Anolis sagrei: one gene and its partner. The protein of the gene in region 2 binds, or shares a complex with, the protein of the main gene of each other region. Links are inferred from orthologs where the notes say so. Each region holds a gene or a part of one and is shown on either strand. Other genes may lie near its edges. The genes, in order: GNAL and GPR161.

Region 1 (16,635 bases), on a different chromosome or scaffold from region 2:
TTTCCTTGTCCAATCCACCTTAAAAAGATACTCTAAAGCAGTGGTTCTCAACCTGTGTGTCCCCAAGTGTTTTGGCCTACAATTCCAATAAATTCCAGCCAATTTATCAGTTGTTAGGATTTCTGGAAGTTGAAGACCAAAACATCTGGGGACCTATAGGCTAAGAACCACTGCTCTAAAGGGCTGGGGAAAACCCCTGGAGCAGGCTTTTGGCACCATGGAGGGTTTTTCCTTACCCTGGAGGGTTCCAATCTCTTTGGCATCAGGCACTGAAATAGATCATTAGATTGTCAACATATAACTGTATACTTCAGAGTTTTTTTTCAACCTATATTTCCTCAATGTCAACATTCAGCAGATTTTAAACATACATTAAACAACATATAGAGTAAAACAGGCCAAGTACCAAAAATTCAACAAGAATGAAAGTTCCATTGTATGAGAACTGTGTATGTCAGGGGTCCTCAAACTAAGGTCCGGGGCCCAGATACAGCCCTCCAAGGTCATTTACCATTTATCTGGTCCAATACAATTTTTAAAAAGACTTTCCAAAGACACATTGTGAAGACATTTCTGCTTACCAGCCAATATATATTATTGTGCAGTCTAAAAAACAATAACAGACTCCGTGGTTTATTTTTAGAACTGATACTGTAATTTAACTGGACTATTTCCTCATCTACGTGACAATCTACCAGAATATATTTAATCTTGATGAAGAAAGCAATGCATAATACAGCTACTATTAAAAAATATAACAGTATAAAAACAAATTTTGATCTTATTTTGTAGAATCTGTCAATGGAATATTTAAAACACTAATTTGGACACACTAGAGTACCATTTTCCCTGAAGATTTTTCTTCTTCTGGGAAATTAAATGCTTCACTTAGCTATCCCTATAGCATTTGAACTGTAAAAACAGCAAACTCCTAGAGAACTCTTATGAGTATTAATTTACAAATTATTAACATTGACAAAACTCATGGCACTTTACTTCCTTTACACACACACCCCCTTTTCTGTAGAAATCAATTCTGGGGCTGCTAAAAGGAAGATGTAGCAACAGGGCTATACTTATTTATATTATCTGTAAAAGATTAGGATTTGCTTGCGAAAGATTTCACCACAACCTAGAAGGACAGGAAAGCAGCTGTCTTCCTTCTGGTGAGATTTTTTTTGATAGTGCTGAAGGATTTTTATTTTGACCTTCATAATGCACAAAAACAGTGTAAACAAGGGGTCCCCAAACTAAGACTCATGGGATGGATGTGGCTCTCCAAGGTCATTTACCCGGCTTCCACCCTAAACTTTAAACTTAGGGTTGTCCTGAGTCTGAAATGACTAGAAGGCACACAATAACAATATTCCTAATTAACTTTTCCTTCTTACCACTCAAAAGTGTGGCGCAGTGGGTTAAACCCCTGTGCCGGCAGGCTGAAGACCAACAGGTTGCAGGTTCAAATCCGGGGAGAGGCGAATGAGCTCCCTCTATCAGCTCCAGCTCCTCATGCGGGGACATGAGAGAAGCCTCCCACAGGGATGATTTTAACAAACATCAAAATCGTCCGGGCGTCCTCTGGGCAACGTCCTTGCAGACGGCCAATTCTCTCATACCAGAAGCGACTTGCAGTTTCTCAAGTCGCTCCTGACAGAATAAAAAAAAGTCAAAAGTGTGAGAGTTGGTAAACGTGAATAAGCGGAATAAGCAGAAGCTTTACCACAGTATTAATTATGGACTTGGAGAAACGATGGCCACCAGGCTGGCTTTTTATTGTATTAATGTAATGTTTTCAACTGTTTATAATTATTGTTACTATGTATTTTATTGTGTTGAATTGTAGGCATCAAACGCATGCCGGTTGGAAGCCACCCTGAGTCCCCCTTAGGGGGTTGAGAAGGGCAGGGTAGAAGTACCCAAAATAAATAAATAAAATTAACCAAGGTATATCTTGCTGTATAATAAAATGTTACTCAGGCTTGTACAACAAGTAACAGTACTTAAATTCAAAGGTTCAAACATGGTAACGGTATGTATATACATCGGCCTCTTTGAATTCAGGCAGAGAACAGAGGAATAAAATAGTCTTTAAGCCTCATGCCTTAAAATGATCAGTCTTTAAAATAGTTGAAAGCCAGCACTTTCTCTTCACTGTCTTTGGGGAGATTTATAGAAGTTGTAGTTCGCCTACATTCAGTGCACACTATGAACCCAAACAATGAGGGATCTGGACCAAACTTTGTATGCATCCTCGATATACCCAAATTTGAATACTGGTGGGTTTTGAGGGGAATTGGCCTGAACATTTTGGAGTTGTGGGTACTGGGATTTATAGTTCACCTGCAATCAATGAGCATTTTGAACTCCACCTAAGATGGAATTGGACCAAACTTGGCACACAGAGCTCCCATGACCAGCAACAAATACTGGAAGTCATTCACCTTCTTTTAGGGGAGTTGTAGTTCACCTACATCCAGAGTACTGTGAACCCAAAGACCTATGGATCTGAACCAAACTTGGCACACAAACCTGATATGCTGAAATTTGTTTACTGGGGGGGTTGGGGGTTGGGGGGAACTGACCTTCCTTTTTGGGAGTTGTAGTTCACACACAACTAGAGAAACTGTGATGTCCACCAATGATGGTCCTGGACCCAACTTGGCACACAGAATCCCCATGATCAACTCAACCTACTGGAGGGGTTTGAGGGAACTGACTCACCATAGTGGGAGTTTACCCTACCGCCAGAGAGCACACTGAACCACACCAATGATGCATCTAGAGCAAAGTTGCCGCACATGTCCAGCTTTAATTACTGGAGTTTCTGGGGGTTAACCTAGCATGATGTGAGTTGCATTACAACCACAACCTTATTCATTTTGGGGGAAAAAAGGACTTCTCCCAATAACCCGGGTAATGCCGGGTCCCCAAGCTAGTGAGTTATAAAAACCATACCTCCTCTTCTAGAAAATGTATTAACAGTTGCAAATGGGCAACAAACAGAAAAGTCTTTATTGTGAATTGAAGTGCAGTTCTTTTGTTTACTAACAGCTAAACAATTTCACAGTCTGGAGGTGCCACTGGAAGTAGTATTTACTTTTAGCTCCACCTACACCATGCCTGGGGAAGGCCATCCTAAGAGACCACTTTGGGTAGCCTTTGGGTGCATCTAGATCAGGCATGGGCAAACTTTGGCCCTCTGGGTGTTTTAGATTTCAACTCCCACAATTCCTAACAGCCTACCGGCAACTACCCACAATGAATGCAGTTTGACATCACTTCAACTGTTATGGTTCAATGCTATGGAATCATGGGAGTTGTAGCCTTTAGCCTTCTCTTCCTAAGAGGGCTGGTGCCTCGCCAAGTTACACATTCCAGGATTTCACAGTGTTGATCCAAAGCAATTCAGGTGGTGTCAAACTGTATTCATTCCAGAATGGATGCATCCTCTGGCTGAACAAGAGAGCATCACCTGCTGCCTCCATCCTCTCATTTTGCTCAGCAGAGAGGTCATTTGGAGGAGAGAGAGCAGAGGAAGAGCAGGAGGTGACAAGGAAGGAGTGTGACAGAGCTGTGCCACAATGGGACTGGAATTTCCATTGTATCAAGAGCACCCATGTATTTCAAAGGGACGTTTTCCTGTTCATATTGAATGTAGATTAATTAAATGGTGAGTTCATTTTCAAATGCAAAAACCTGTTCATACCGAAATTGAAGGGCTCCCGAAAAGAAAATCTGTAAGAGCAAACAATTTAATAAGAAATATACCTCAGGCACAACATCCACAGTCGGAAGCAGAGACAAATTACAGGAAGAAGGGGAGGAAATGGGAAAGCACTGGCCCAAAAGGAAGATCTCTCTCTCTCTCTTTCACACACACACACACACACACACACTGGGGCTTGGATAACAAAACCTCCTCAATTACTTCATTGCAGTGGTCCTCAACCTCTGGGTCGCCAGGTGTTTTGGCTTACAACTCCCAGAAATCCCAGTTTACCAGCTGTTTACCAGGAACCCCCCCCCCGGTGGCGGAATGGGTTAAACTTTTCTGCCAGCAGGAATGAAAACCGACAGGTCCGAGATTTGAATCCAGGGAGAGTGTGGATGAACTCCCTCTGTCAGCTCCACTTCCCATGCTGGGACATGAGAGAAGCCTCCCACAAGGGTGGTAAAACATCAAAAACATCCCGCGTCTCCTGGGCAACGTCCTTGCAGACGGCTAATTCTCTCACACCAGAAGCAACTTGCAGTTTCTCAAGTCGCTCCTGATATAAAAAAACACCCCACAAATCAAAACATCAAAATATCCGGATGTCCTCTGGGCAACGTCCTTGCAGGCGGCCAATTCTCTCACATCAGAAGCAACTTGCAGTTTCTCAAGTCGCTCCTGACATGGAAAAAAACCCCCCACATATCAAAATATCCGGGCGTCCCCTGGGCAACGTCCTTGCAGACAGCCAATTCTCTCACACCAGAAGCGACTTGCAATTTCTCAAGTCGCTTCTGACACACACACAAAAAAAGCTGTTAGGATTTCTGAGAGTTGAAGGCCAAAACATCTGGAGACTCAAAGGTTGAGAACTACTACACTAGAGAATAAATCCAGTTGTTGCCTCCTGCAGAATTCTGGGGTTTGTAGTTTAGGGAGGAGCCTTTAACAGCCTCCCTAAACTACAAACCCCAGAATTCTCCAGGAGGCAGTAACCGGATTTAAAGTGGATTCATTCTCTAGTGTGATGAGCTCCTTGGGAGAAAGCCCCATTAAAACAGTGCCCCTTCTACAAAACAGTTTGCCTTTGGGATATTTGCCTTTGGTAATAACTAATACTAATACAGTGCTATGCTAATAATTATAATATATTGTATGCACATATAATATTGATAATAATATTGTAATACAATATAATACTAATAATACTACAATATAATTATATATTTTATATTAAATGTAATATTATTAATAATATTGCAGTATTATGGTATAGTAGAATATAGCAATATCTAAAACTAATATTGTGCTATGCTAATATTTATTTATTTACACCATAATAATATAATATGTTGTAAGCACATATAATATTAATCATTATATTGTATATACAATATAATACTAATAATAATACAATAGTATGATAATATATTTTATATTAAATGTAATATTATTAATAATATTCCAGTATAGTGGTATAGTACAATATAGCAATATCTACGACTAATATTGTGCTATGCTAATAATATAATATGTTGCAAGCACATAATATTAATCATAATATTTTATATACAATATAATACTAGTAATAATACAATAGAATAATTATATATTTTATATTAAATGTAATATTATTAAAACTATTGTAATATAGTGGTATAATACAATATAGCAATATTTAAGACTAATATTGTGCTATGCTAATAATATAATATATTGTAAGTGCATATAATATTAATCATAATATTTTATATACAATACAATAATAACATATAATAATTATATATTTTATATTAAATGTAACATTATTAATAATATTGCAGTATAGTGGTATAGTACAATATAGCAATATCTAAGACTAATATTGTGCTATGCTAATAATATAATATGTTATAAGTACATATAATATTATTGCAGTATAGTGGTATAATACAATATAGCAATATCTAAGACTAATATTTTGTTATGCTAATAATATACTATGCTGTAAGTACATATATTAATCATAATATTTTATATACAATATAATAATTATATATTTTATATTAAATGTAACATTATTAATAATATTCCAGTATAGTGGTATAGTACAATATAGCAATATCTAAGACTGATAGTGTGCTATGCTAATAATATAATATGTTGTAAGCACATATAGTATTCATCATAATATCGTATGTATAATATAATACTAATACAATATATTTTATATTAAATGTAATATTATTAAAATATTGCAATATAGTAGTATAGTGCAGTATCTAAGACTAATATTGTGTTATGCTAATAATATAATATGTTATAAGTACATATAATATTATTGCAGTATAGTGGCATAGTACAATATAGCAATATCTAAGACTAATATTTTGTTATGCTAATAATATACTATGCTGTAAGTACATATATTAATCATAATATTTTATATACAATATAATAATTATATATTTTATATTAAATGTAACATTATTAATATTATTGCAGTATAGTGGTATAGTATAATATAGCAATATCTAAGACTGATAGTGTGCTATGCTAATAATATAATATGTTGTAAGCACATAAAATAATTATCATAATATTTTATATACAATATAATAATTATATATTTTATATTAAATGTAACATTAATAATATTGCAGTAAAGTGGTATAGTACAATATAGCATATCTAAGACTAATATTGTGCTATGCTAAAAATATAATAATACAATATAATAATTATATATTTTATATTAAATGTAACATTATTAATAATATTGCAGTATAGTGGTATAGTACAATATAGCAAAATCTAAGACTAATATTGTGCTATGCTAAAAATATAATATGTTGTAAGCACATATAATATTAATCATAATATTTTATATACAACATAATACTAGTAATAATACAATATAACAATTATATATTTTATATTAAATGTAATATTATTAATAATATTGCAATATAGTGGTATAGGACAATATAGCATTATCTAATATTAATATTGTGCTATGCTAATAATATACTATGTTGTAATTACATTTAATAGTAATCATAATATTTTATATACAATATAATAATACAATAGAATAATTATGAATTTTATATTAAATGTAATATTAGTAATAACATTGCAATATAGTGGTATAGTACAATATAGCAATATATAATACTAATATAGTGATATGCTAATAGAAGTAGTATGATATAACTTGTAAGTCCCCTTCGGGGTGAGATGGGCAGCATATAAATTGTGTAAATAAATAAATATCCTAAAGCTGTGGATGCAGAACCTGCAGATACTGTGTCTGCCTGGAGTGGACCTGCTGCTGCTGACACTCAAGAGAGAGGTGTCTAGTGGGAGGGGCACCCTTTTGTTCGGAGCGCGCTGCCCCCTCGCCCCGCCCACTTTTTCGCCCCTTCCCTTCTTCTTCTTCTTTTTTTTCAAACCCGGCGCGCGCTCGGGGCTCTCCCCCTTTCCCGCGAGGCGACGCTGACGTACCCAAGAGCAGCAGGCGGTGCGTCTGCTTGTACTCGCGCTTCTGCTCCCGCAGCGCGCGGTCGATGCTCCGGCTCACGCGCCGCGCCTCCTTCTCGGCCTCGCGCTCCTCCGGGGGGCGCCCTCCTTTCTCCCGAGGAGGCGGGGGCAGGAGCTGCAGAGTGGGAGCTCCCCCCGAGGACGAGGCTGAGGCTGGCTCCGCTTTCCCCTCGCCGCCGTTCTGAAGGAGCAGCCGAGGCCCGTCCGCAGCTGCTGTTCCTCGTTTCCCGCCTTCCTCATCTCTCTTGGCTTTGGGCAGTGGGGAGGGCGGCTGAGGCGGCTCGCTCTCGGCAGCGGCGGCGGCGGCGCTGCTGCTGGAGATGGATGACCCGCCGCCGCCGCCACCGCTGCTCCCACCGCCGCCGCCTCCTCCTTCTCCGAAGAGCCGCGGGCGGAGGCTGTAGCAGAGCCCCATCTCGGGCGGTGCCTCGGGCGCTCAGCGGGGATGGCCGGGAAGGAGAAGCGTCGAGGCGAAGCAGGAGAAGGCGGAGGAGGAAGAGGTGGAGGAAGGGGAGGGCGGCGCGGCGGGGAGCAGCCCCTCCTCACAGGCCCCGGGACGCCCAGGATGCCTCTGCTGCTGCTTCTCTGCCCGCCGGCGCCGCTCCCGGGCCATGTTGCATTGTGAACGCTCGCCTGCCGCCCCCCTTCCTCTCTCCCTTCCTCTCCTTTCCTTCCTCCCTTCCTTCTCTTCTTCCTCCTCCTCGCCTCACATCACCTGACACGGACCCGCCGCTTTACCGTAAATACCCCAGCGCGAGCCCACCGCGCAGCTCGAGGGCACCACCAAAGGAAGGCTTGCTTGGGAAGGAAAAGAGGGAGGGAGGGAGGGGGAGAAGCGCGCGCCCAGGCAGAGAGGCAGAAGTACGCACGCGCAGCACACACATATACACACACACACACATTAGGACCAAGGAGGCAGACTGATGGACCGGACACCGAGGCACTTCAGGAGCCCAGGCGTGTGCACCAACATGCAGGTAGAAACTACACACACATACCCTCCAGGTATCTTAGACTTCTACTCACTCAATTCCTAATAGTCTGTAGGCTGTTAGGAATTGTGGGAGTTGAATTGTGGGAGTTGAAGTCCAAAACAACTGGAGGGCCCAAGTTGCCCGTGCCTGCAGTAGGGCCAAGGTACATGGATGGACAAACACAGAGATACTGTGTGTCCATAACACACATAAGCTGTTAGGAATTGTGACTGTTAGGAATTGTGTTAGTAAGCTGTTAGGAACTGTGGGAGCTGAAGCACAAAACACCTGGAGGGCCCAAGTTTGCCCATGCTTGCACTAAGGCCAGTGTGCATAGATGGACACACAGAGATGCTACATGTCTGCAACACACATAAGCTGTTAGGAATTGTGGGAGTTGGAGTCCATATGCAGAAGTACGCACGTGCAGCACACACACACACACATATATATATACACACACACACTTTAGGGCCAAGGCATGAAGACAGATGGACTGGACACCGAGACACGCAAACTAGGGCTTCTTCATTCAGGAGCCCATACGTGTACACCAACATGCAGGTGGAAACTATACACACATACACTAGTGCAGGCATGAGCAAACTTCGGCCTTGAGGGCCCAAGTTTGCCCATGCCTGCACTAGGGCCAATGTGCATGGATGAACACACAGGGATGCTGGATGTCTGCAACATACATAGGCCGTTAGAAATTGTGGGAGCTGGAGTCCAAAACACCTGGAGGGCCCAATTTTGCCCATGCCTGCACTAGGGCCAATGTTTGTCATATATATGTTGTGCTCCACCCTGAGACCCCTGCGGGGTAAGAAAGGTGGAATATAAATGCTTTAAATAAAAATAATTATAATCCAACAACAACAACACTTTATTAGTATTCCACCTCATCTCCCTGTGGAGACTCGGGCGGCTCACAGACACAAAAGGCAAATATTCAATGCCTTGTACTGTAATAAATAACTAATATAATTTAAATAAAAACAATTTAAATAGTATAAACAAATAGTTATAAAAGAAATAATAACTATCCTATAAAACACATTTAAACAACATTAGTAAAGGTTAAATTTAAATTTAAACAAATGCATGAGGATTTTGTTCAATACTCAAGTATATGGAAAGGCACACACACACACGTGTGTATGTTTGCAAACCACACCTAGCACATTAGGGTTTCATTCCAGTGCCAAGGTGTATGTATATATATGCACACAGAAACGTGTATGTTTATAACACACACACACTAGGGTTTGTTCAAGAGCTAAGGCATGTTCATAGATACACAAACATGTACAGAGATTGGCATGTGTGTCTACAATCCAACACACCTATATGTCTTCAGGTTTTGCTCAAGACTCAAGGTGCATATACAAACACAGATTCATGTGTATGTCTTCAAGCCAATACATGCACACACGAGGGTTTTGTTCAAGAGCCGAGGCATGTGCACCGAAGCATTGACAGAAACGTGTGTCTACAACCCACAACACACATAAACTAGGGCCAAGGTGTGTGGATCGACGTGCACAGAGACATTGTATGACTACAACACACATTTGGGTTTCATTCAGGAGCCCAGGCATGTTTGTGTGGCTCAGATTTGTGCATACATACAGAGGGCTAGGTATGGCTAGGATCCGCCATACACACAAGAGTTTAGTTCAGGAGCCAAGATGTGTGCATGGACACGCACGCACTGACAGGTGTGTGCCTCGAACCAACCAACCAACCACACACACACGTACACACAGAGACAGGCTTCCTTCCCTCATCTCGGCCCCAGGCCTTCTTTTCCCTTCCCCTCATGCCTTTTTCTATCACAGAGCCACCCCCTTTCCCGCTCTCCTTGAGAGGGGCACGCAAGGACAACCATTTCTCTTATTTCCCCCAGAGAGACCAGGAAAAAAGTCAGCGCTTGTTATTTCCCTGCTTGATTTCTCTCAAGGAGAGAGTGGGGACAACCCCTGTTTCTCTTATTTCACCGAGGCGAAAATCCTCCTCCTTCACAAACACAGCCAGGCCGAGTCAAGCTCGCCCACGCGCCGCATCTCATGTCTGTCACCAACGAGCCACCGCCGTTTATCGCCACTGCAGCATATCGCTGTCCCTCAGAGCCATTGCTTCCTTTCCTCCCCAACCCACAGTCATACCAACATTTCCCTTTGTTTTCTCTTGTTTATTATCTCGCCCTTGGAGGCCTTAGCAGTCTTTTTGGTGACTGAAATAGATGAAGACCTTCAGGAATCCTCCCTTTATGAGATGAAGACAATCTACAAGACCTTTTGGATGTGGTGCCAGCCATCTCATAAGGTGTTTTAGCAAGTGGCATTGATTAGTGGTATTTTGCTGGAAATGGGACAGATGGGGTGTCCTTTTTCCAGAATTCCAGAAAATGCTCCAAAATATTCCACATATTTTCCACATATCCGCATAGTCCTACTGAAGAGGGTTGTCCCCTTCAATACCTTTGCTTTCCAATGGTTCAGTGTACACAAACATTGGGTTGTTGTAGGTTTTTTCGGGCTATATAGCTATGGTCTAGAGGCATTCTCTCCTGACATTTCGCCTGCATCTATGGCAAGCATCCTCAGAGGTAGTGAGGTCTGTTGGAACTAGGAAAAAGGGTTTATTTATCTGTGGAATGGCCAGGGTGAGACAAAGGGCTCTTGTCTGCTGGCGCTAGGTGTGCCTTCGCAATACATTACACAAACATCGTTTCATGCATATTATTACAAAAAAGTAGTATGAAATTACAAGCTATGCGTAAAAGTCACTTTGAGTCCCCTTCGGGGGAGATAAAGCGGGGTATGAATAATAATAATAATAATAATAATAATTATTATTATTATTTTGGAGCACAATACTCCCGACCTCACAATCGTGGGGGGGGGGGGGGGAAGACAAATGTGGATCATCAATGTTGCAATTGCAGGTAACAGCAGGATTAATGAGAAGCAACTGGAAAAGCTTCGAGGATAGGAGGAATTAAAGATAGAACTGCAAAGACTAGCACAAGCCAATCAAGTTGGTCCCAGTGGTGATTGGCACACTGGGTGCAGTATCTAAAGATCTTGGCCTGCACTTAACAATTGGCGCTGATAAAATTGCCATCCGTCAACTGCAAAAGGCCACCCTACTTGGATTTGGACGCATTATTCGCCGATATATCACACAGTCCTAGACACTTGAGAAGTGTCTGACATGTGATCAAACACAATAGCCAGCATAGTGCTCTTCTTTACTGTGTATTAATCTTGTTAATGATAATAATAATATATGAAATGTAAATTAGTTTTGTGCTTAGATTTGAGTCCCACCTGCAACATATCATTATATAGTAAAGGTAAAGGTTTCCGCTTGACATTAAGTCTAGTCGTGCCCGACTCTGGGGGTTGGTGCTCATCTCAATTTCTATGCCGAAGAGCCGGCATTATCCCTAGAAACCTCCAAGGCCATGTGGCCAGCATGACGGCATGGACCACCATTACCTTCCTAACGGAGCGGTACCTATTGATCTACTCACATTTGAATGTTTTCGAACTGCTAGGCTGGCAAAAGCTGGGGCTAACAGCAAATGCTCACCCTGTTCCCCAGATTCGAATCACAATCTTTTGGTCAGCAAGTTCAGCAGCTCTGTGGTTTAACCTGCTGCATCACTGAGGACTCTCATTATATACATATATGCAAATACAGGTTTTAAAAAACCCAAACACTTCTGGTCCCAAACATTTAAAATATTTTGGAGAGAACTTGCAGCTACCTTGTGGGCTTGTAAGACATTTATCACTGGGTTTTATATAAAGGGGGAAAATAAATTTCACCTTAGATTCTTCCAGGAGCACTGTGGATTGTCATGAAGATTGCAGCACTCTTGGTTCTTTAAAACTTCAAGGCAGTGTTTCTTTTGTCCTTGGCTATTTTCTGGCAAGACCAGGTATTTACTGCAACATTTTATTCCCACCTGTAAAGGAGCCCGTTCATCCAAAAACCTATGAGAAAAAAAATCTTTTCTATTCTTTCTCGTTACTTTGTAAAAATAGTTTTTTTATTTATTTGTTTATTTTTATTTACTCTATTTATACCCCACTTTTCTTTATTCCAAAGGGGACTCAAGGCAGCTATATGTGGCATTTGTTCAGTGCTTTGCAACACATACAGACATTAAAAACTTAAAATCAGTTGAGTTAAAATTAATACAAGTTAAGCATTTAAAAATTACATTCAGTATTAAAATCACACCATCCAAAGATCATGGTCCAAGGCCAATTCCATAATCATTGCACATAAACCAATCTATATGGTCGTACAGAAGTCTCTGAAAGCCAGGTTCCAGAGCCACGTTTTTACTTTCCTTCTGAAAGTGAGGAGGGAGGGGGCTGATCTGATGTCACTAGGGAGGGAGATCCACAATTGAGGGGTCACCACTGAGAAGGCCCTGTCTCTCATTCCCACCAGTCGTGTTTGTGAAGAAGGCAGGACCGAGAGCAGGGCCATCCCAGACGATCTTAATCTCTGAGGTGGTTCATAGGGTAGGATATATTTGTACAGGTAAGCTGGGCCGGAACCGTTTAAGGCTTTGTAGGCTAAAGCCAGCACTTTGAATTATGCTCTGAAGCAGACTGGCAGCTGGCACAACAAGTGAGTTGTGTGCTCCCTGTACGCCGCTCCGGTGAGGAATCTGGCTGCCATCGTTGGACCAGTTGAAGTTTCCAAACAGTCTTCAAAGGTAGCCCCACGCAGAGTGCATTGCAGTAATTTATACATGAGTGTGGACCACTGTGGCCAAGTCTGACTTCCCAAGGTACGGGCAGAACTGGCACACAAGCTTTAATTGTGCAAAGGCTCCCCTGGCCACCATTGAGACCTGGGGTTCCAGGCTCAGTGTTGAATTTTATAGTTCTAGTGCTCTCGTATATCTGAAATGCTATATCTAAGGGGAAAAAATGGAAGAAGACAAGAGAAAACTTTCCCTTTAAGCAAGAGAACTCTCAGCAAACCATACCCCCATACCCAGATGAAGATCCATTAAATAGACACTGCCTCCTGAAAGAACAAATGGACTTGGAAGAGAAAATGATAATCAAAATGCAAGAAAATCAACTCACATTTCTTAGACCACTCTGAGAAAAGTCCTAGTTTTCTCAATAGATGTTATAAAGCAACCTGAATTCATCTATATGATGTTTTTTGTTAGATGCAAGCAGACCAAAGTGTTGCTCTCCACTCATCAAAATGAGGCCAAATTCCATTGCCATTTAAATTAACTAATTAATATAAAATCCACAAAACAGTGATGTAGTTATTAAACTAATTAAAAAAGAAGCCAGTGAAGCTTTGAAAGCTTGCGTGGTGTATTTTATCCTTTTTAGTTGGCTCAATAACAGGTGTCGCTGTTTTGTGGATTTTGTATTTTGGTGTATATAAGTGCATGGCCAACACAGCTAGTCCTGCATATATTTCATTAACATAAAATCGTTTTTGGGCGGGTGACAGAGAATAATCCATTTAATCACTCCAAAGGCCAAAATGTGATAACACCTTTTTAGGACAATCCAAAAGGCACAAAAACCTCTGTGCAAGTTTCAGAAACAAACATTTCTTCATCAAGCCAAGATGTGCAAAAAAGCCAACATGCTGGGGAAAATGGGAGGATGGAAGGGTATGATCACAGATTATCTTAACTAAACAAAAGCGAAAGTAACTTTTAGGCTGTTCTGAGTTTGGAGAGAATGGCCTTAGATCAGTGTTTCTCAACCTGGGGGTTTCAGAGGGGTTGCCAAAGACCACCAGAAAACATTTATTTCTGATGCTTTTAGGAACCCATTGGGTAGAGAAGGCTGATGATCTTTCCGGCTGTGCTTCTCTTCCTTTTTGAAACAGACAGCGAATCCTCCCACCAAAAGCCCTACTCCTCTGTGATTGGCCAGCCTCTCAGCCTAGGGGAGGGCTTTTTCAGAGAGTACAAACGGGGGAGAAGAGAGCAGGCGTGCTCGATGCATGAGAGCATGGTGCACATGTGTGTGTGTGTGTGTGTGGGGGGGGGGGAGCATGTGAGGCTAGAGGGAAGCTTGCACCAGCGAGTCCCTTCAAGGTATGGGGTTCTGTGTGGGAAGTTTGGCCCAATTCTATCATTGGTGGGATTCAGAATGCTCTTTGATTATTTGTTGTTGTTCATTCATTCAGTCGTTTCCAACTCTTTGTGACTTCATGGACCAGCCCTCGTCACCACCCCCAGCTCCTTCAAGGTCAATCCAGTCACTTTAAGGATACCATCCATCCATCTTGCCCTTGGTCGGCTCCTCTTCTTTTTTCCTTCAATTTTCCCCAGCATAATTGTCTTCTCTAAGCTTTCCTTTCTTCTCATGATGTGGCCAAAATACTTCATCTTGGCCTCTACTATTCTTCCCTCCAATGAGCAGTCAGGCTTTATTTCTTGAAGTATGGACTGGTTGGATCTTCTCGCTGTCCAAAGCACTCTCAGCACTTTCCTCCAACACCACAGTTCAAAAGCATCTATCTTCTTTCGCTCAGCCTTCCCTATGGTCCAGCTCTCACATCCGTAGGTGATTATGGAGAATACCATTGCTTTAACTATGCGGATCTTTGTTGCCAGTGTGAGGTCTCTACTCTTCACTATTTTATCAAGATTGGTCATTGCTGTCCTCCCAAGAAGTAAGCATCTCCTGATTTCCTGATTAATAGTCTTTGATTATAGGTGGACTATAAATCTCAGCAAATAAAACTCTCAAATGTCAAGGTCTATTTTCTCCAAACTCTACCAGTGTTCACATTTGGGCATGTTGAGTATTCGTGCCAAGTTTGGTCCAGATCCATTATTGTTTGAGTCCACAGTGCTCTCTAGATGTAAGTGAACTACAACTCCCAAATTCAAGGTCAATGCCCACCAAACCCTTCCAATATTTTCTGTTGCTCATGGGAGTTCTGTGTGCCAAGTTTGGTTCAATTCCATCATTGGAGTTCAGAATGCTCTTCGATTGTAGGTGAACTATAAAGCCCAGCAACTACAACTTAACCAAATAACAAAATCAATCCCCTCCCCCACAACCCCACTAGTATTCAGATTTGGGCATATCAGGTGTCAAATTTGATCCAGTGAATGAAAATACATCCTGCATGTCAAGTATTTACATTGCAATTCATAACACAATAGCAAAATTACAGATATGAAGTAGAAATGAAAATAATTTTATGGCTGGAGGTCATCACAAGCCCTATCACCGTCCTCCCCTCATGTTGATTCATGTAGGAACCAATGATACTGCAAGGCATACGTTTCAAAAGATCACAAATGATTTTCGAGCTCTAGGAGAAATGCTAAAAGAATGTAACGTACAGGTGGTCTTTTCATCCCTCCTCCCTGTTGTAAGACACGGACCCACAAGAGCCAGAAAAATAGTACAGGTCAATGACTGGCTTAGAAAATGGTGTCAGGAGGAACGCTTTGGCTTCCTCGACCATGGCCTGCTTTTCCAGGAGGATGGCCTACTGGCAAGGGATGGGGTGCATCTCACACAAGTAGGAAAACACCTTTTTGCTCACAGACTCGCAAACCTCATTAGACGCACTTTAAACTAGGTCCACCGGGGGAGGGGGACAACAGCCTTGCGAACACTACTTTACCCATAATGTCTGGGAATCGCCAGAAGGCTAAACGGAGGGCTGCACAAACACAACAAGGACCAAGTACCAAAAGCACAATAATCCCAATTAAACAGCTCAAGGGAAGATCCCAGGGGCTCACATGTCTTTACACTAATGCACAGAGCATGGGAAATAAACAAGACGAACTCCAACTTCTAGCACAACACCACAAATATGATATCATAGCCATCACTGAAACCTGGTGGGATGACTCCTATCGCTGGAATGTAGATATCGAGGGGTATAACCTCTTTCACAGAAACCGAACAAAGGGGAGAGGAGGCGGAGTAGCCTTATATGTCAAAAACTCTTATGCTGCAGAAGAAATTCAAGACAGCAATCTAGGAAACCAGCTTGAAATCATCTGGATAAGAATCAAGGGAACTGGGACTCAAAAAGATGTCGTTGTAGGCGTCTACTACAGACCCCCAAGCCAGGAAGAAGATCTTGATGAAGTCTTCTGCCAACAGTTGACCAAACAGGCACAGAAAAGAGATGTAGTAGTCATGGGCGATTTCAACTATCCCGATATTTGCTGGAAAACAAACTCGGCCAAGAGTACAAGGTCCAACAAATTCCTCGCTTGCCTTGCAGACAATTTCATGGTCCAGAAGGTAGAAGAGGCAACAAGGGGATTGGCTACTCTTGATCTCATCCTAACAAATGCGGAGGACCTGATCGATGCGGTCGAAGTGGTAGGATCCTTAGGGGCAAGTGACCATGTGCTCCTGCAATTTGAGGTACAAA
Region 2 (16,105 bases):
GGCACATTGTGACTATCCTGGTGGGCGGGGTGACTGGATATATTTATATAAACACACACACATATACTAATACTGTTAAGCCAAGTCTTCAGGTATCTTTCCATGTCCTTGACTAAAACTCCATGGGTTGTTTTCTTCCACAAGAGAAACAGCCCTGTATCGTCCTTAGTGGTTTTGTCTGGTCCCCACTGAGGCATTTTAAGTGTTTCCTTCCTCAATGCTCTGCAGCTGTAATCTTTGGCCAGCATGGGTCCGGCCACCGCGCCGTGCGCAGGTGCTGCTGTTTCCCATAGTTCGTACTGGGAACAAAGAACCAGCTAAAACATCTCCGCCAAACAAAGCGATCCTCACGTCAGTTTCAATAGCTTTGGCCAAGCTGGATGCATAACTGTCCAGAGACTTATGAACTTCTGCTTTTACATGAAGGACAGAATTCTTTGTTGTGTCTAAAACAAAAGAAAAGAGAGAGAGAGAGCTTTTTACCTTTGCATATTGTCTAATATTTGCGAAGAATTCAAAGACATAGCCATTAAAGTCTGGATCAATATCCAAAGGGATCTCATAGCATCTTTGAGACTAATTAAGAGAAACTGCTCTTGCTCTCAGGCCCCTTCTACACTGCCATATAACCCAGATTATCAAAGTAGATAATCCACATCTGATTTGAAGTGGATTATATGAGTCTACACTGCCATATAATCCAGTTCAAAGCAGATAATCTAGATTTTATATGGCAGTGTAAAAGGGATCATAGTCTCAAAAAGGCTACAAGGTATCATTTGTATAATACTGTAGTATTATATATTACTAGCCGTCCCCTACCACGCGTTGCTGTGACCCAGTCTGTATATATGTGTTTTTGTGTGTGTATATATGTTTGTGTATATATTTGTGTATATGTGTATATATTGTATGTGTGTTTGCATGTATGTGTGTGTATCTGGTTTTGCACATGTGTTTTAATGTATTTTTTGCGTTTTAAGTCTCTTCTGCTGTGTTTTTCAGTATTTTTATGAGTGATGGCCACTTGTTGACCTAATAGGTGTATTGTGTCCAAATTTGATGTCAGTTCGTCCAGTGTTTTTTGCATTATGTCAATCCCACAAATGAACATTACATTTTAATTTATATAGATGTATAATATATTAATATACATTACATATTTTAAAATCAGAAAAAATGTATATTATTATTATGGAGGAATTCTTTTTGCAAGTAATCCTCTACACCACCAATGCAGCTCCAAGTTAAAACATCCAACCGCAGTGTACCTTTAATATGTTCCACTTCATCTTCAAATGTCACTGAACTCCTCCGTCGATGAGGATACACACAATGTGGGTGATGCATTCCATCAGAACTATAGTCTTCAAGTAGCATGACATCTGTTCCTGAAAATAAGGGCATCATGGATTAGTTGCATGCCACAATATCTCAGTTTAAGACAGCCTTCCTAACATAATGTCCCCCAGATGTTTCACACCGTAAGTTCCTAGGTAGGCATTTCTGTCCTTGTTGGGGATGAAGGAAATTGAGCTCTGTCATCTGATGTTACAAGTTTGGCTAGATTGGTTTAAGGATTTTAAAGGAACTGACAGTATTCTAAGAGCTAGAAATACACTATGAATACCTTGAAGTTCTCAAGTTTGTATTTTTCTTGTAGTGCTAATACATGAGCAAGAGGAACCTGCAACAGAGAGGATTGGGAGGCATGCTTTACTCTTCTACTTGTTTCTCTTCAACTTGGCCTTTCAATTTCCCCCCAAAAAACTGAGCATTGAGACTGGAAGAATCGTGATACGATGCTGCTGTTAATGTGGCCTAAGGCTGTATTCGATATTTTAGCAGGCACATCACATTTCTTGCACATGTTCAATGTGAATGTTCTAATATGGAGTGGTCAAAATGTGGCCTGTGGACTTCATGCAGCTGCTGGGCCCTGAAGCCTACCATTGTTACTTCAACCTCATGGGAAAAAAATAATTTGGTACATTTTTTTGACAACGACTTCCCCAAAATGACACAGAACCAGGCATGTAGGCCTGGGGGGGGGGGGGGGGGACGGACGGACGGACGGACGATTGGGGTAACAATACAAAAGGTTTGCTAGAGTAGACCCTCCTGCACTCAGACTCAGCCCCCCCATGAAACTCAGCCCCCCTTGAATCAAAAGAAGGGCAGAATATAAATAAAGTGTATTATTATTATTATTATTATTATTATTATTATTATTATTATTACCTGAATCCTGAGAGTAGCTGAATCCTGTATCTCCTGTGCTACTGCTATGTCCTAAAGTCCTTTCACCTGCCATAAGAGCTGTGAGGTGTGGAGACAGTCCTAAATCTGCAAAAGAATTTCAGAATGAACAAACACTAAAGAAGTGACTGGATATATGACATCATCATCATTTATATCCCATTTTTATCTCTTGATTAAGACACAAAGTAACTCACAATATTAAAAAAACGAAGCAATTTAAAATCCACAACATGCAAATATTAAAATAGAATTAATCATACAAGTCAATTAAAATAACTCAAAACACTTTAAAACTGTTAAAATAATCTCATATCCTACAGCATCTTCCTCTCCTGGCGTGTTCCTTTCAAACCTGAATAAAAAGTCTTTAGCCTGCCATTGGAAGGACAGCAGGGAGGGGGCCGGGCAGGTCCATACCAGGAGATGTGATCTGTCAAAAAACCTGGACCTGTGTCATATAGGACTTTAGAGGCTACAACCCAGCACTTTGAATAGTGTCTGGAAGCAAACTGGCAGCCAATGGAGCTGTTGCAACAGAGAGGTTTTGCACTCCCTGTAGCCAGCTTTATTAACAATTTCACCAAAGCACTTTGGGCCAGTTGAAGTTTCTGAAGACTCTTCAAAGGTAGCCCATCATTTGATCCAGTCAATCACTTAGCTTGTTATACCTGCACTGGGAATGAGTTAAAATACTGACATGAAACAATCGGGGCCAGCAAACACCTTCCAACAAAGGACTCCCCCAGGCAGCAATCAACCAGGCTTTGAAGCTGCAAGGCCCTTTAAATACTAATCAAGATGGCCAACTGCAACATTCACACTTGCCTCAAGCAGACAAGAGTTCTTTCTCCCACCCTGGACATTCCACAAATATATAAACCCCACTTGCCTAGTTTCCAACAGACCTCACAACATCTGAGGATGCCTGCCATAGATGTGAGCGAAACGTCAGGAGAGAATGCTTCTGAAACATACCCATACAGCCTGGAAAATTGACAGCAACCCAACTGAAATATTGTTGGTCATTGTGGTAATGAAATGCTGAAATCATTAACCCTTGGTTTGATTCACATGACTCTTTTTATGCTCTTAAACCATACTTTCTCTTTGAGCTGCATAATGAAATGTGAATGTTTCCCATTAAACATGAGCAACCAATATTTGGATACTTATTTACCTTGACTACAGCATTGAAAGAATAAAAAGGGCACATTTGATTACCTGTAATCCTATTTGAAATACTAAATAATCTGGATGTCCTTTGTCGCTGCACAAATGATTCTCGGTAGTATCGGTCTCCGAAACACATTCCTAGCAACTCCTTGCGTACCGTTTTATTCCATAGTCCATAAATCAAAGGGTGGCAAATGGCACTTGTGAAAGATAACCATGTTGCCAATGTCTCCAAAGTTGGGGAAATGCTGTTTTTCCCCCAAAGTGCCTCAGTGGTAATAACCACCATGTAAGGCCCCCATGTGATGACGAAAGCACCAATCACAACCAAGATGGTTATCAAAGCTTTGCATTGGTTGGCAGAATAAACCACCCCTTGGAAAGCATTCCTTCGGCTTCCCGAGGAGGACGTTGAAGTACTGGAGTTCTTTCTCCCATTCCTTTGAGTATCTTCCTCTGCAATGACCACACTGCCACAATGAATCTTCCGAGCTTTAATCCGAGCCACCCGGAAGATGAATCCATAGCATATCATCATGATCATGAAGGGCAGCAATGCACACCAGATCTGCCAAAAAGCAGTGTAACCTGCCTGTTTATGCCATGCAGCCACACACATCCATTTGAACTGGTCGAACTCTAGGGAAGACCAACCAAAGAGGGGAGGAAGGCACCCAATGAGAGAATGGAGCCACACGTACACAATAGCCACCACTGCTCTGTTACCCGTAATCTTCATTGGGTAAACCATTGGGTATAGGACAGCGTAGTACCTGAAACATAGAAAAGGAGGACTGCAGTCAAACTAAGAAATATACAAGAAACAAATAATAATAGGATCAATTGCAACCTAGTTCATGCTTTGTTTGAAATCACTGCTTACTCAGAAATTGGGGGGGAGGGACGGGGACGGGGGGACGGGACAGAAGGACTTCTACAGAGAAATCATATGAAGTAAGTATCTTAAGCATTGTACAATGTCGCACACAAAGGCTAGTTGTTGGTGACACTACAGAGGTGTTCAAAATAATGGATATTTTATTGTGAGGCAGTTCCATACTGCATAGCACAAAGAACTGATTTCTTTGAATTACATGTGTTAAAATTGGATGAGGAATATGAGCATTCCTTTATTAGAGTTTCAAAATCCAAAATACTCCAAAATTGTCCGTATGGGTGGTTGAGACTGTGAACCTTTTGCTGTCTGATGGCTCAGTGTACACAAACTTTGCTTCATGTACAAAATGCTGCAAGCTCTCCAAAGCTTTAGGTGCTCTTACTGCCTATTACAGGAGAAACCAGCTGATTCCTAATCCATCTAAAACAAAGACATGTGTTTTTTCACCTTAAGAACAGGCAAGCATCTCAAGTTCTGAGGATTACCTAGGAAGGAATCCCGCTGGAGCACTGCAGCACACCAAAATACCTAGGAGTTACCTTGGACCATGCTCTGACTTACAAGAAGCACTGCTTGACTAACAAGCAAAAAGTGGACACTGGAAATAATATCATGTGAAAGCTGACTGGCACAACCTGGGAATCACAACCAGATACAGTGAAGACATCTGCCTTTGCGCTTTGCTACTCTGCTGCTGAATAAGCATGCCCAGTGTGGAACACATCTCACCACGTTAAAACAGTGGATATGGCTCTTAATGAGACATGCTGCATTATTAAAGGATGTCTACTCCCCACACCACTGGAGGAATTATACTGTTTAGCACCACCTGATATCCGCTGGGAAGTAGCAGCCAATAATGAAAGGACCAAGACAGTGACATCTCTGGCCCATCCCCTGTTTGGATATCAGCCAGCAAGCCATTGCCTTAAATGAAGAAATAGCTTTCTAAGATCAACAGAGATACTCACAGGAAAACCTCAGCAAGCAAGAGTCCAAAAGTGGCAGGCTAAAACACAGAACCTCAATCCATGGCTTATATCAAATTAGAGTCTCTTCCCTGGGCACACAGAAGACCATGCAACTTGGAAGGTGCTGAACAGACTGCGCTCTGGCACCACAAGATGCAGAACCACACTTAAGAAATGGGGCTACAAAGTGGAGTCCGTGACATGTGAGTGTGGAGAAAAGCAAACCACAGACCACCTACTACAATGCAGTCTGAGCCCTGCAACATGCACAATGGATGACCTTCCCACAACGACACTAGAGGCACTCCAAGTGGCCAGCTCTTGGTCAAAAGGCATTTAGCATAATGCCAAATTGTTAACTTTGTTTGTGTTTTTAAATACATTACAATACAAATATTTCAAAATCTGAATAATCTGAAATACTTCTGGTTCCAAGTGTGTCAGATACGGGAGACTTAACCTGTACTTATAACATATGAATAGCCTGCTGCATCAGGCCAATGATTAGACTTCCTATTTTTTTTACAGCAGCTTCTGAGACCTAACAGAAGACATATCAGTTCAATCATGCTTTGCTACCTGCACATAGGCATGAAAAAGGAAACAGGTCCTCATAATATTTAGTTTAAGGACATGGTTATACTGGGTTTTTTGAATCACATTATCTCTCAGAATGGGTGGATAAGACAGAGACTTCATTGTTGCTCACTGACACGTGGCTTCTATTGAAAAACATTGCGTACCGGTCGATAGCAATGAGTCCGAGCGTGAGCATACTGGCAGAGCTGATCAGCATATACAGCAAGGCTGAAAAATTGCACCAAACGACGCCAAAGATCCATTCTCGCTTAATGGAACTGGTCACAACGAAAGGAAGCACAAGTACCGAAAGGAGGAAGTTGGATAGAGTCAGGCTGAACACAAACTTGTTGCTGAGTGTGAGGAGGTATGACCTTTTGTAGAGGGTCAGGACAATGACCAGGTTTCCTAAACAGATGAAGATGGCAATGACAATAATTGCAATTGACTCTGTAATTCTGCCTACTCCATTCTCTGGAAGTGTAAGGTTCCCTGAGGCGTTCTTGTGGCTGAGAGAGGAGTTGATGCTCATCATCAGAGCGTACGGAAGATGGACAGCCAGGACATGCTGGGCACCTGGAAAAAGAAGAAAAACACAGGTATCATTCGAATACTGTGCTTTTCTAAATGATATAATTTTACATTCTATCTTTAATTGGTTTAAAATCATTACATATCATCAAGTGCAGCCAGTGGGGAAGGGCTCTTTGGTGTATTCTAGATCAATGCTTCATTGATACATGATATGTGCGATCAGCAATCCATCCACATACTCCCCCCTCCCCCCACACACATCACTTCATTGCCAGTTAAATATGCCCATCGCTCATAGGACTCTTTTCATACTACCCTGCTATGATTCTATTTTTTTTTTTTTGCCTTCCTCTGGGACTCTGAGATTTGCAGCTTGAAGAGACATGAGCACAATCCCACTGAAAACTCTAAAAGCTTCTCCCGAAACTGCAAAACTTGGGATTCCACAGGATGGAACAGTAGTTGTTAAAGTGGAATCCCAGCATTACAACTGTATGGTGTGAAATGACCCTTGGTTTCCATGCCCCTTGTAATCTTAGTTGCATCTCCTATGGACCTCGCACAAGTTTCAAACTTAAACTTTGGTGCTCAGAACTGGACACAAGCCAAATAAAGTGTCCTTTCTCTTGATCTGGACACTATAATTTGGTGGATGCAGCCTAGAACTCCTTCAGCTGTTCTTTTCCCTGTTGCTGGATATCACAGGGACGGTTGACTCACTATTTGTAATGTCTGGAAGACTGGAAGCCTGATTCCATGGCACAGAGACAAGTGGTTTCAAACTGCACTCATTCTACAACAAGGATGGGCAAACTTGGGTTAAGTGGCTGAGGGGGAAAAGGAAAGGGCCTGAGGCTGTTAGGAACTGTGGGAATTGAAGTCCAAAACACCCGGAGGACCCAAGTTTGCCCATGCCTGTTCTACAATGTAGATGCGCCCTGAGAAAAGCTGGCCTTTATTTCAAGGGCCTCATCTTCCTTTCCTCTCCCTTCTGCTTCCTTCTCCTCCTTTTTCCTTCTTCCTCCTTCCTCTCTCCCCTAACTTTTCCTTTTTCCTCACTTCCTCTTTTCATTCTTTCTCTCTCTTCCTTTTCTCTCTTTTTCTCAATCTTTGTCCCTTTTCTTTCTTTCTCCATTCCCTTTCTCTGCCTCCCTTTCTCTCTATCTTCCTCTTCTTTTCTATTTCTTTCTCTTTCTTCCTTCTCCCTCTCTTCCTCCCTTCTCTGTAGTTCTCTCCATCTCCCCTTTCTCTCCCTCTTTTTCTCTCTTCCTCTCTTTCTTTCTCCCTTCCCTTTCTCTCTTCCTCTCTTTCCAATCCTTCTCTCTCATTTCCTCCCTTCTGTCTTTCTCTCTTGCTCTCCATTCCCTTTCTCTCCTTCTCTCCCTCCCTTCCTATCCTCCTCTCTTTCCTTCTTTCTCTCCCTTCTTTCTCTCTTCTCTTTCTTTCTCCCTTTCTCTCTATCTTCCTTCCTTCCTTTCTCTCTCTCCCTTCTCTCCCTTCCCTTTCTCTCTATCTTCCAATCTTTCTTTCTCTCCCTTCCTTCTCTCTTCCTTCCTTCTCTGTCTTTCTCTCCTTCACTCCCTTCCCTTTCTCTTTATCTTCCTCCCTTCTCTCTCTCTCTCTCAATCTCTCTCTCCCCCTTCTTCCTCTCGCTCTCCCTTTCTTCTCTGTTTTTCTCTCCCTTCCCTTTCTATCTTCCCCGCTTCTCTTTCTTTCTTTCTCTCTTCTCTCCCTCCCTTCTCTTTCTCTCCTTCTCTTCCTTCCCCCTTTTCTTCTCCTTCTTCCTCCTCTTCTTCGGGGTCGGACACAGGCAGCCCCTTCTCCTTCCCTCCCGAAACGGGAGGCCCTCTCTTCCCGCGAGTCTCCCCTCCAGAGGTGGGGCATGGCGCTCCATTCCGGGCGAACCCCTTCCTTCCTCCTCGGTGCCCAGCCTCCCCCTTGGGCGCCGTGCGAGGCCACTCACCGTGTGTCCCGGGGGCTGCCTTGCTGCGGGAGCGGGCTCTCTTCCCGGGACCCCCCACCAGCGCCGCCGCCCACGGAGCTCCCCCAGCGCCGCCCCTTCCCCCTCTTCCCCTCCTCCGCTCCTTTGTTCTCCTCTCCCTCCTTCTCCCCCTCAACTTTGGGCCTCTTCGGCGGGCCGAGAAGAGGATCCCGATGCCTTTCCTCCTTCCTCCCTTGCCTTGCAAGGCTCCTCCACCCGCTCACTTGGCGGGAGGCTCGTCTTCTTCGCCTTGCTGGGAAAAGTCGGCCGCCAATTCCAAAGCAGCCGACTTAGGCAGCATTTCCTCCCCCGGCATTCCTGGCCCTTTTACACCTCATCTCCCTTTCTGGCCCTCCTTCATTTTTGCTGTTCTTCTCCAAGGCCAGCTCTTTCTCGGCCGAAGGAATGGCCATGGGAGGGCAGGAGGCAGCGCTTGGGATTCAGCGGCAGCCCGCGAGTCCAGTGGCATGAGGAACACACTTCAGTTTCCATCCCCACTGGCAGAGTTTCCTGCCATCTGGGTGGTGCCAGAATGAGAACACCCCCCCCCCCCCCACATTATATGCCCAGCATCCCTTACCTGGAATTCCACATAAGATGGCTGAGGGCTAATCTACACCAGTGGCTCCCTACCTATCAATTATATCTATCTATATAAAACCTACAACCCTTCAGGTCATCCCAGATGTGGTCTCTGCCAGCCAGGGCCAGAACTTTTTCCATCAGTTAGGGGGCATCCGGCTTCATTCCTATTTTCTCTGCTACCCAATTTACACTAGAGGTTCTTGACATCTCTGGAAAACCAGGGCCAGGAGAACGTACAAGTTGATCAATTTTGTCATTGTCCAAGAAACATCCCAAAAGGCCTCCTGAGTGTCCCCCTGCTGGGTCCTCTCTTCCTCTTCCTTCCTTGGTGTCGACGTGGCCCCCGAATCCTGGTTTCCAGCTCCATTACAGAGACCACTGTTTCCTCAGGTTGGAGCACCAAGTCCGGCCAGTCAAAGACGATGGCCACTTTTTGCCAGGTCTCTTTGGTCGAAGGGCAGTCTGTGATGAAATGTTCTCCATAAACACCTCCAAGGTCATGTGCCCAGCATGACTGCATGGAGCACAGTTACCTTTCAGCAGAAGTGGTACCTACTGATCTAATCATATTTTGCATATTTTCAAATTGCTAGGTTGACAGAAGCTGGGCCTAACAGTGGGAGCTCCCCTCACTCTCTGGATTCAAACCCCCAGCCTTTCAGTTAGCAAGTTCAGCAACTCAGTGGTTTAACCCGCTGCGCCACCAAGGGGCCTATATATATATATACTGTATGTGTGTGTGTGTGTTATATTACTCAAAGCAGCTGAAAAACATGGTCATAAGACATTACAACTATTTGTTATAATGCTGTGTGGCCAGCATTAGCCTCAGGTTATAAAACTGATTTAATCCTTACATTAGCTCTCCATTCTTTGTCTTCAGGAGGAAAGAGAGTGCAATGTATGACAGGTGGGGACCACTGATGCAACTTTACTTCAGTCCACAAGAAGTGCACATCAACAGGTAAAAGAATTACAGTGCTCTCCCTTATTCTATCCCATTGGCCTCTCACAGTAGTAAATGTTACTGAACATATTGGAGCTGCAATTTTTCTACAGTCATTACAATCAGACTGTAAGAATAAACATTCCACAGGTTTCCTTTTTGTTTACGATTGGTTTAATGTAGAGCAGATGGAAAGAAGCCTGAAGGAAAAAGGAGGTATATGTGTAGTCACACAGTGCTAGCTGCAGGGAAAGAAATCACTATTTTTATCTATGAAATGTTGACAAGTATGATAAACATGTCTTCTACCCCAAAACCCAGACCATAACACTTTCGCTCAGTGTTTGAATATGCTGCCATTGGATTGGTAAAGGAAATCTGGATTATTATTGTGTATGTAAAGATGGTCAGATCACTGGCAAGGAAAGAACAGTTAAAAGCCACACATTTTGGAATACCTCCTTTTGTTACCATAACTTAGAACTAACCCATTGAAGCATGGCATTTAAAACCAAATTATTATTGGCTCAAAAGTCTATTCTACTGGGTGCTAACAATAGAATTTGTTTATCATCTTGCTTGGTTTCCTCTATAAACTTTTAAGAAATAACTAATTTGAACATGTGATCCTTTCCTCTCCTTAATCCCAAGTAACATGATCTATATAGCTAACTTTAAACAACATTTCACTCTCTGTTTAGATTACATGATGTATTAGAAAGGCAGAACAAAGATTGTATCTGGGAAGAACTTCAGAAAGAAGGGTACAGTTGTCGAGTCACAATGCCCCTCCTCCCAAAAGATTAATAGTTTATCAAGTTTATGAAATTTCTTAACTTCTTTGAACTTTGCTGGTGCGAAGCGGTGGAGATCGGAAATGGACCAACAGCAGCTTCACCCCCACAAAGACTTTATAGTTCCAACCCTTTAATAAATTATGCCTATTTTTTCCTGACTTTGCTGTTGTTGTTTATTCGTTCAGTCACTTCTGACTCTTAATGACCTCATGGACCGGCCCACGCCAGAGCTCCCTGTCGGCCATCAACACCCCCAACTCCTTCAGAGTCAAGCCAGTCACTTTTCCCCTGACTATCTGTGTAAATTGTATCTTTCTGTATACAATATCTATTTCTTTTATATAAAATGTATACTTTTCCATATAAAATGTAGCAAGATGTAGCCAGAGAAAAATCACCTCTATATAACTCCAAAGAGCCACTTCCCAAACACTGGAAGGTTGGGCAAATCCCTCTGGCTGTTTTGCAGACAGGCAATCATCAGAATCAATTGTTCATGTATACAGAGATAGTTTCCCATGTCAGCCCAGATAAGCCAAGAGGTATTTGTCTGATTAAATGGTTCACTTGAGGCTGAGAGATTGCTGACCATGGAAAGAGATGCTTAGAGTGTGTACATTCAACCCATTCTGTTTGTTTCCATCTATAATTGTCCTCATGATGCACTTTCCCCCTGTCCTTAATAAAGCCAAACCTCACTGCTCCCCTTTCTTGGACTCCTCCCTCACAAATATACTTTTTATTCCTATCTCACCCAGGGTTTTAACGTTTTAACATTTTATCTCGTGCATTTGGCCCACCCTTTCTATTTGATTTTATTATGTTATTTTGCACTGTTTATTTTAATTTGTTACTTTATTTATTTTGTTTTGATGTAACTTTTTCTGTAGTTTTGTGTCCAACTTTGCTGTATTATTTTTGAGCTTGGCCTGATGTTAGCCGCCCCGCGTCCCCTTTGGGGAGATGGTGGCGGGGTATAAATAAAGATGATGATGATGATTATTACATTTGTTAAACCTATTGACTGACAGCCCAAACTGTGAATGCCCAAGATCATCACCTTTGTTTTGGGAATCTCATGTCTTTGACTGCAGAAACCCCTATCTTTGTCAAACACAGAACTGGACTATTGAGCCAATCAAGAGCTTAGTATCATTTATTTAAACATTGTCTTCACAAATGACGTCTCCTACCAGGGGACACCCCACCAGCTGTTTGGTTCTTCGGCTGACCAACTCCAAGCTGTCATCTCCCCATGATAGGGAATCACAACCTGAAGGCAGCATCAGCAGCACCTTCAGCCATTCAGGTCTCAGATCCAGACCAGCCCCTCTCTCAGCCAATCAGGGAAAGGAGTGGGAATTTTGAATAGTTGTCAAACCTTATAAGATCTCTTGCATTCTCTGTATGTTTTACGCTTCTACACTTTGAAGCATCTGCTTGTATTTGCATCCCTTTTGGCTGAACTGGATAAACCTCTGTGTTTTGTCTTCAACCTGGTGAGTATTTCTCTGTCCTGGCACATTTGGTTTAGCTTGCACTAGCCGGGCACAGATCATTTTATCAGCAGACCTAGTTATCCACAACACAGTTGGTTAGATAATGCACTGATAATAATGGAATAGACTCTTGAAACCAGCTAAATCTGATGTTGTGGTGATGATGTAAATTACCGAGGCCCAGAGATCCAGAAAGGGGTCTGAGTCTAACTATATTGATTTTTTTTTGTCTTTCTCAGTAGGAGTAAAGCTTCTCCCCCACCCACCAATTTGTGGGTTTGACTTTTGCAGGTTGAATTCTTCATGGATTTGATTAAAATGATCTCCCTAGAAACCGCTAGATATTTTGCTGTAGTCTGTGGTCAGCCTCTAGCAGACACTAACCACAGAGTTATGTAGGAAGAACAACAGCTGGTTTCTTTCCCACTTTCTTTCTCTCCACCCTCTCTTCAGAAATAGACTGAAGAGCACAAATGGTTCATCAACCAAATAATCTAACACTACTTATATTCAGCCTTTTGCATTTGCAGGTTTAACATTGTGGATTCATTTGTGGGTTGATATGGTCTCTCTAGGATTCTCTAGGGCAGTGGTTCCCAAACTTTTTTTGGCCATGCCCCATGTAAGCATCTCTAAAATCCTGATTCCTCCCCACCTGCAACCCCCGGTGGCATATAATTCTTATTTTTTTTTAAAAAAAAGTGAATTCTTGTTTATGCGGAGGAAGTCTAAAAGGCCATTAAACAAACTTCCAAAGGACATCACATCCATGAAAGAAAGAAAAAAATAAAAGAGCAAAAGGACAGTTGAAGTACTGAGGAAGTAATCAAAGAGAAATAATTTAAATAATAAAAAATAATAACAACATGAAAAAAGCAAATAAAGCTTCAGAACCTATAATAGAAACTGAAATGCATAAATATAAAATAATTTAATGGAAGCTTTTTCTGTAATACTTTGATCATTTTAATTATTATACAAAATACTTTTTGTATTGCTTGCAATGTTAAAAGAAGAAGAGTGGGATTTTTGGAATGAAAGTTGTCTCCCTTTTCTGAGCTTATGACCTCTTTAGTTCAGTGTATGCTCTTCACTCTCCTCTCTAGTGGGCTTTCCCCCTCTCCATTGTCAACAGCTGACCACTGTGTACATTCTCATTTTAATTTTAAAATTGCAAATGTCACAATATATGTTTATATACTGTATATAAAGCCCCTAGAACCATAATAAATGCAAATAACTGTTAATAACTCATTCCTGAATTGTCACCCTTAAAATCAAATTGCCCCCTTGTATGGGACATGCCTCACATTGGGAACCAGGGACTTCATCACACTCCAGCATAGATCCACTTTAAATTCGGTTTCTGCCTCCTGCAGAATTCTGGGGCTTGTAGTTTTGGGAGGGACCTTTAAACTACTCAGTCAAAGAGGTCCCAGGGCTCACTAAACTAGAAACTCCAAAATTCTGCAGGAGGCTGAAACTGGATTTAAAGTGGATCCATGCTCTTGTGATGAGGGACTTTAGGGCCTCCAATGTTATTCTTTTAGAAGTTCGCCAGTGTCACATTGGAGGACCAAGAAATTCCTAGAGAGGTTTTGGGTTGTTGTAGGTTTTTTCGGGCTATATGGGCATGTTCTAGAGGCATTCTCTCCTGACATTTTGCCTGCATCTATGGCAAGCATCCTCAGAGGTAGTGAGGTCTGAGGATGTTTGCCACAGATGCAGGTGAAACGTCAGGAGAGAATGCCTCTAGAACATGGTCATATAGCCCGAAAAACCTACAACAACCCAGTGATTCCGTCCATGAAAGCCTTCGGCAATACATTCCTAGAGAGGTGTTCTCTCTGGCAAAAAGTACAATTTCTTTAATTTGCGGTTTTTAGATGTCCGCAGTGGTCCTGTGGCCTCAATTCCCATGAAAGTGGAGGGCCTACTATGTAAGTCATGAACTTTTAATTGGAATGCAAATATAGGTACACTCATACTGTTATGTATATACAATCATAACAGAATTAATATAATTGGCAATACAAAGTGGACAAAAAGTTACACATCTGTATCAGATAAAGTGTTATGGTTTTGTGTGCTATTTGTTACTCATGAGCAATAGTGTTTCTTTTTCTGTAACGGAGAAGTCTCTTAAAACTGCAAACTATGAAATGAAAGGAGCATTCTACATCATAGGTCACAACCTCTGAGGATGCTTGCCATAGATGCAGGCGAAATGTCAGGAGAGAATGCTTCTGGGACTCATAGAATCAAAGAGTTGGAAGAGACTTCATGGGCCATCCAGTCCAACCCCCTGTGAAGAAGCAGGAATATTGCATTCAAATCACCCCTGACAGATGGCCACCCAGCCTCTGTTTAAAAGCCTCCAAAGAAGGAGCCTCCACCACACTCCGGGGCAGAGAGTTCCACTGCTGAACGGTTCTCAAAGTCAGGAAGTTCTTCCTCATGTTCAGGTGGAATCTCCTCTGGACATGGCCATACAGCCCAAAAAACTTACAGCAACCCAATCTAAGGGCCCTTCCACACAGCCCTATATCCCAGAATATCAAAGCAGAAAATCATAGAATCATAGAGTTGGAAGAGACTTCATGGGCCATCCAGTCCAACCCCCTGCCAAGAAGCAGGAATATTGCATTCACAGCACCCCTGACAGATGGCCATCTAGCTTCTGTTTAAAAACCTCCAAAGAAGGAGCCTCCACCACACTCCGGGGCAGAGAGTTCCACTCCTGAACGGCTCTCACAGTCAGGAAATATACATGCCTATCATATCTCCTCTCAGCCTTGTCTTCTTCAGGCTAAACAGGCTAAATCCCACCAATAATACTCTACATAAAAATTACAATCCATGTTTCATAATACAGTAAATTTAGTTGTTGTAAAGCTGTCCCACCAATAAAAATAAAAATTGCAATCCATGTTTCATAATAAGTAAAATTAATTTTATAATTCAGTAAAGTTGTTATATTGATTTGTCTTTATTCACTTTTACTATATTTTAAAATGAATATCGTGCCAATACAGGAGGTTTAGGCAAACCTGGGCCCTCCAGGTGTTTTGGACTTCAACTCTCACCATTCCTAACAGCCTCAGGCCCCTTCCTTTTCCCCCTCAGCCGCTTAAAAGGAAAAGGAAAGGGCCTGAGGCTGTTAGGAATGGTGGGAGTTGAAGTCCAAAACACCTGGAGGGCCCAGGTTTGCCTATACCTGCCAGAGACCCACATTGGAGAACTTAAGAGAGGCCCCTGCAAAAGAGTACCGGAAGTGCCTATAGGGAAGCGTAAGCATGTTTCCGCTCATCAGGTGGTGGGACAGGAAGCGGAATGACGTCACCTGTTTGCTTCCGGTGGCGGTGGTGCTAAGGGGGGAAGTGGGGGCTGGCTTCCGGGCGAGGAGCCCCTTCTCACCCTCCACTCGCTTCTCGCTCTCCTCGCTGCCACCGCCACCATGATGCCTGTCTTTAAGAGCAGCCGGCGGGACTTCGCTTTCGGCCCTTGGAAGCTCACGGCCGCCCGGACGCACATTATCAAGTCCTCCGAGTCCGAGAGGTGAGAGGGGCGCTAGGAAGGGCCGCCGCCCCCCTCTGGCTTCCTCACATCCCGCAAAGGGGCCTTCCTCGGTTACCCTTTGTGATTGTTCTATTTGAGGAATGCGAATGACCCTTAATGCTCCAAATAACACATTCTGTACACCATGCGTGTGTCTACACTGCACAATTAATGCGGTTTGACTTCCTCTAATTGCTGTGAAATCCTGGGAGTGGCTGCTTTGCAAGGTCTTTCGCCTTCTCTGCCAAAGAGCGCTTGTGCCTAACCAAACTACAACTGGTGGGACACCAGCACTCTGCGGCAGGCATGGTCAAACTTGTGG

Evidence for each region.
Region 1: the proteins of GPR161 (region 2) and GNAL are in contact, whole or in part, in a cryo-EM structure (PDB 8KH4), measured with the Homo sapiens proteins. The link is inferred for Anolis sagrei from reciprocal best matches to the Homo sapiens genes GPR161 and GNAL. Residues at the interface, in NP_001254539.1 of Homo sapiens: Arg125, Ala128, Val129, Leu130, Pro132, Met133, Tyr135, Pro136, Met137, Ile139, Ile211, Val214, Ala215, Lys218, Ala219, Lys267, Ala268, Thr271, Trp327, Asn328, Lys329, Arg332; in NP_001135811.1 of Homo sapiens: Ala41, His43, Lys203, Val204, Phe206, Phe363, Cys366, Arg367, Asp368, Ile370, Gln371, Arg372, His374, Leu375, Gln377, Tyr378, Glu379, Leu380, Leu381.

The regions. Positions count from the first base shown.
Region 1 is NC_090024.1:65,784,740-65,801,374, reverse strand, and holds the start of GNAL (guanine nucleotide-binding protein G(olf) subunit alpha), read right to left. Parts: upstream 8,061-16,635; 5' UTR 7,650-8,060; coding exon 7,199-7,649; intron 1-7,198. UniProt on the Homo sapiens protein: Guanine nucleotide-binding protein (G protein) involved as transducer in olfactory signal transduction controlled by G protein-coupled receptors (GPCRs).
Region 2 is NC_090023.1:41,701,830-41,717,934, reverse strand, and holds the start of GPR161 (G-protein coupled receptor 161), read right to left. Parts: upstream 8,653-16,105; 5' UTR 8,623-8,652; exon of another isoform or gene 8,597-8,622; intron 8,475-8,596; exon of another isoform or gene 8,381-8,474; intron 7,656-8,380; exon of another isoform or gene 7,138-7,655; intron 6,460-7,137; 5' UTR 6,419-6,459; coding exon 6,048-6,418; intron 4,209-6,047; coding exon 3,484-4,208; intron 2,347-3,483; coding exon 2,242-2,346; intron 1,392-2,241; coding exon 1,272-1,391; intron 447-1,271; coding exon 199-446; 3' UTR 1-198. Other genes in the region: TIPRL (TIP41-like protein), read left to right, coding at 15,683-15,783. UniProt on the Homo sapiens protein: Key negative regulator of Shh signaling, which promotes the processing of GLI3 into GLI3R during neural tube development.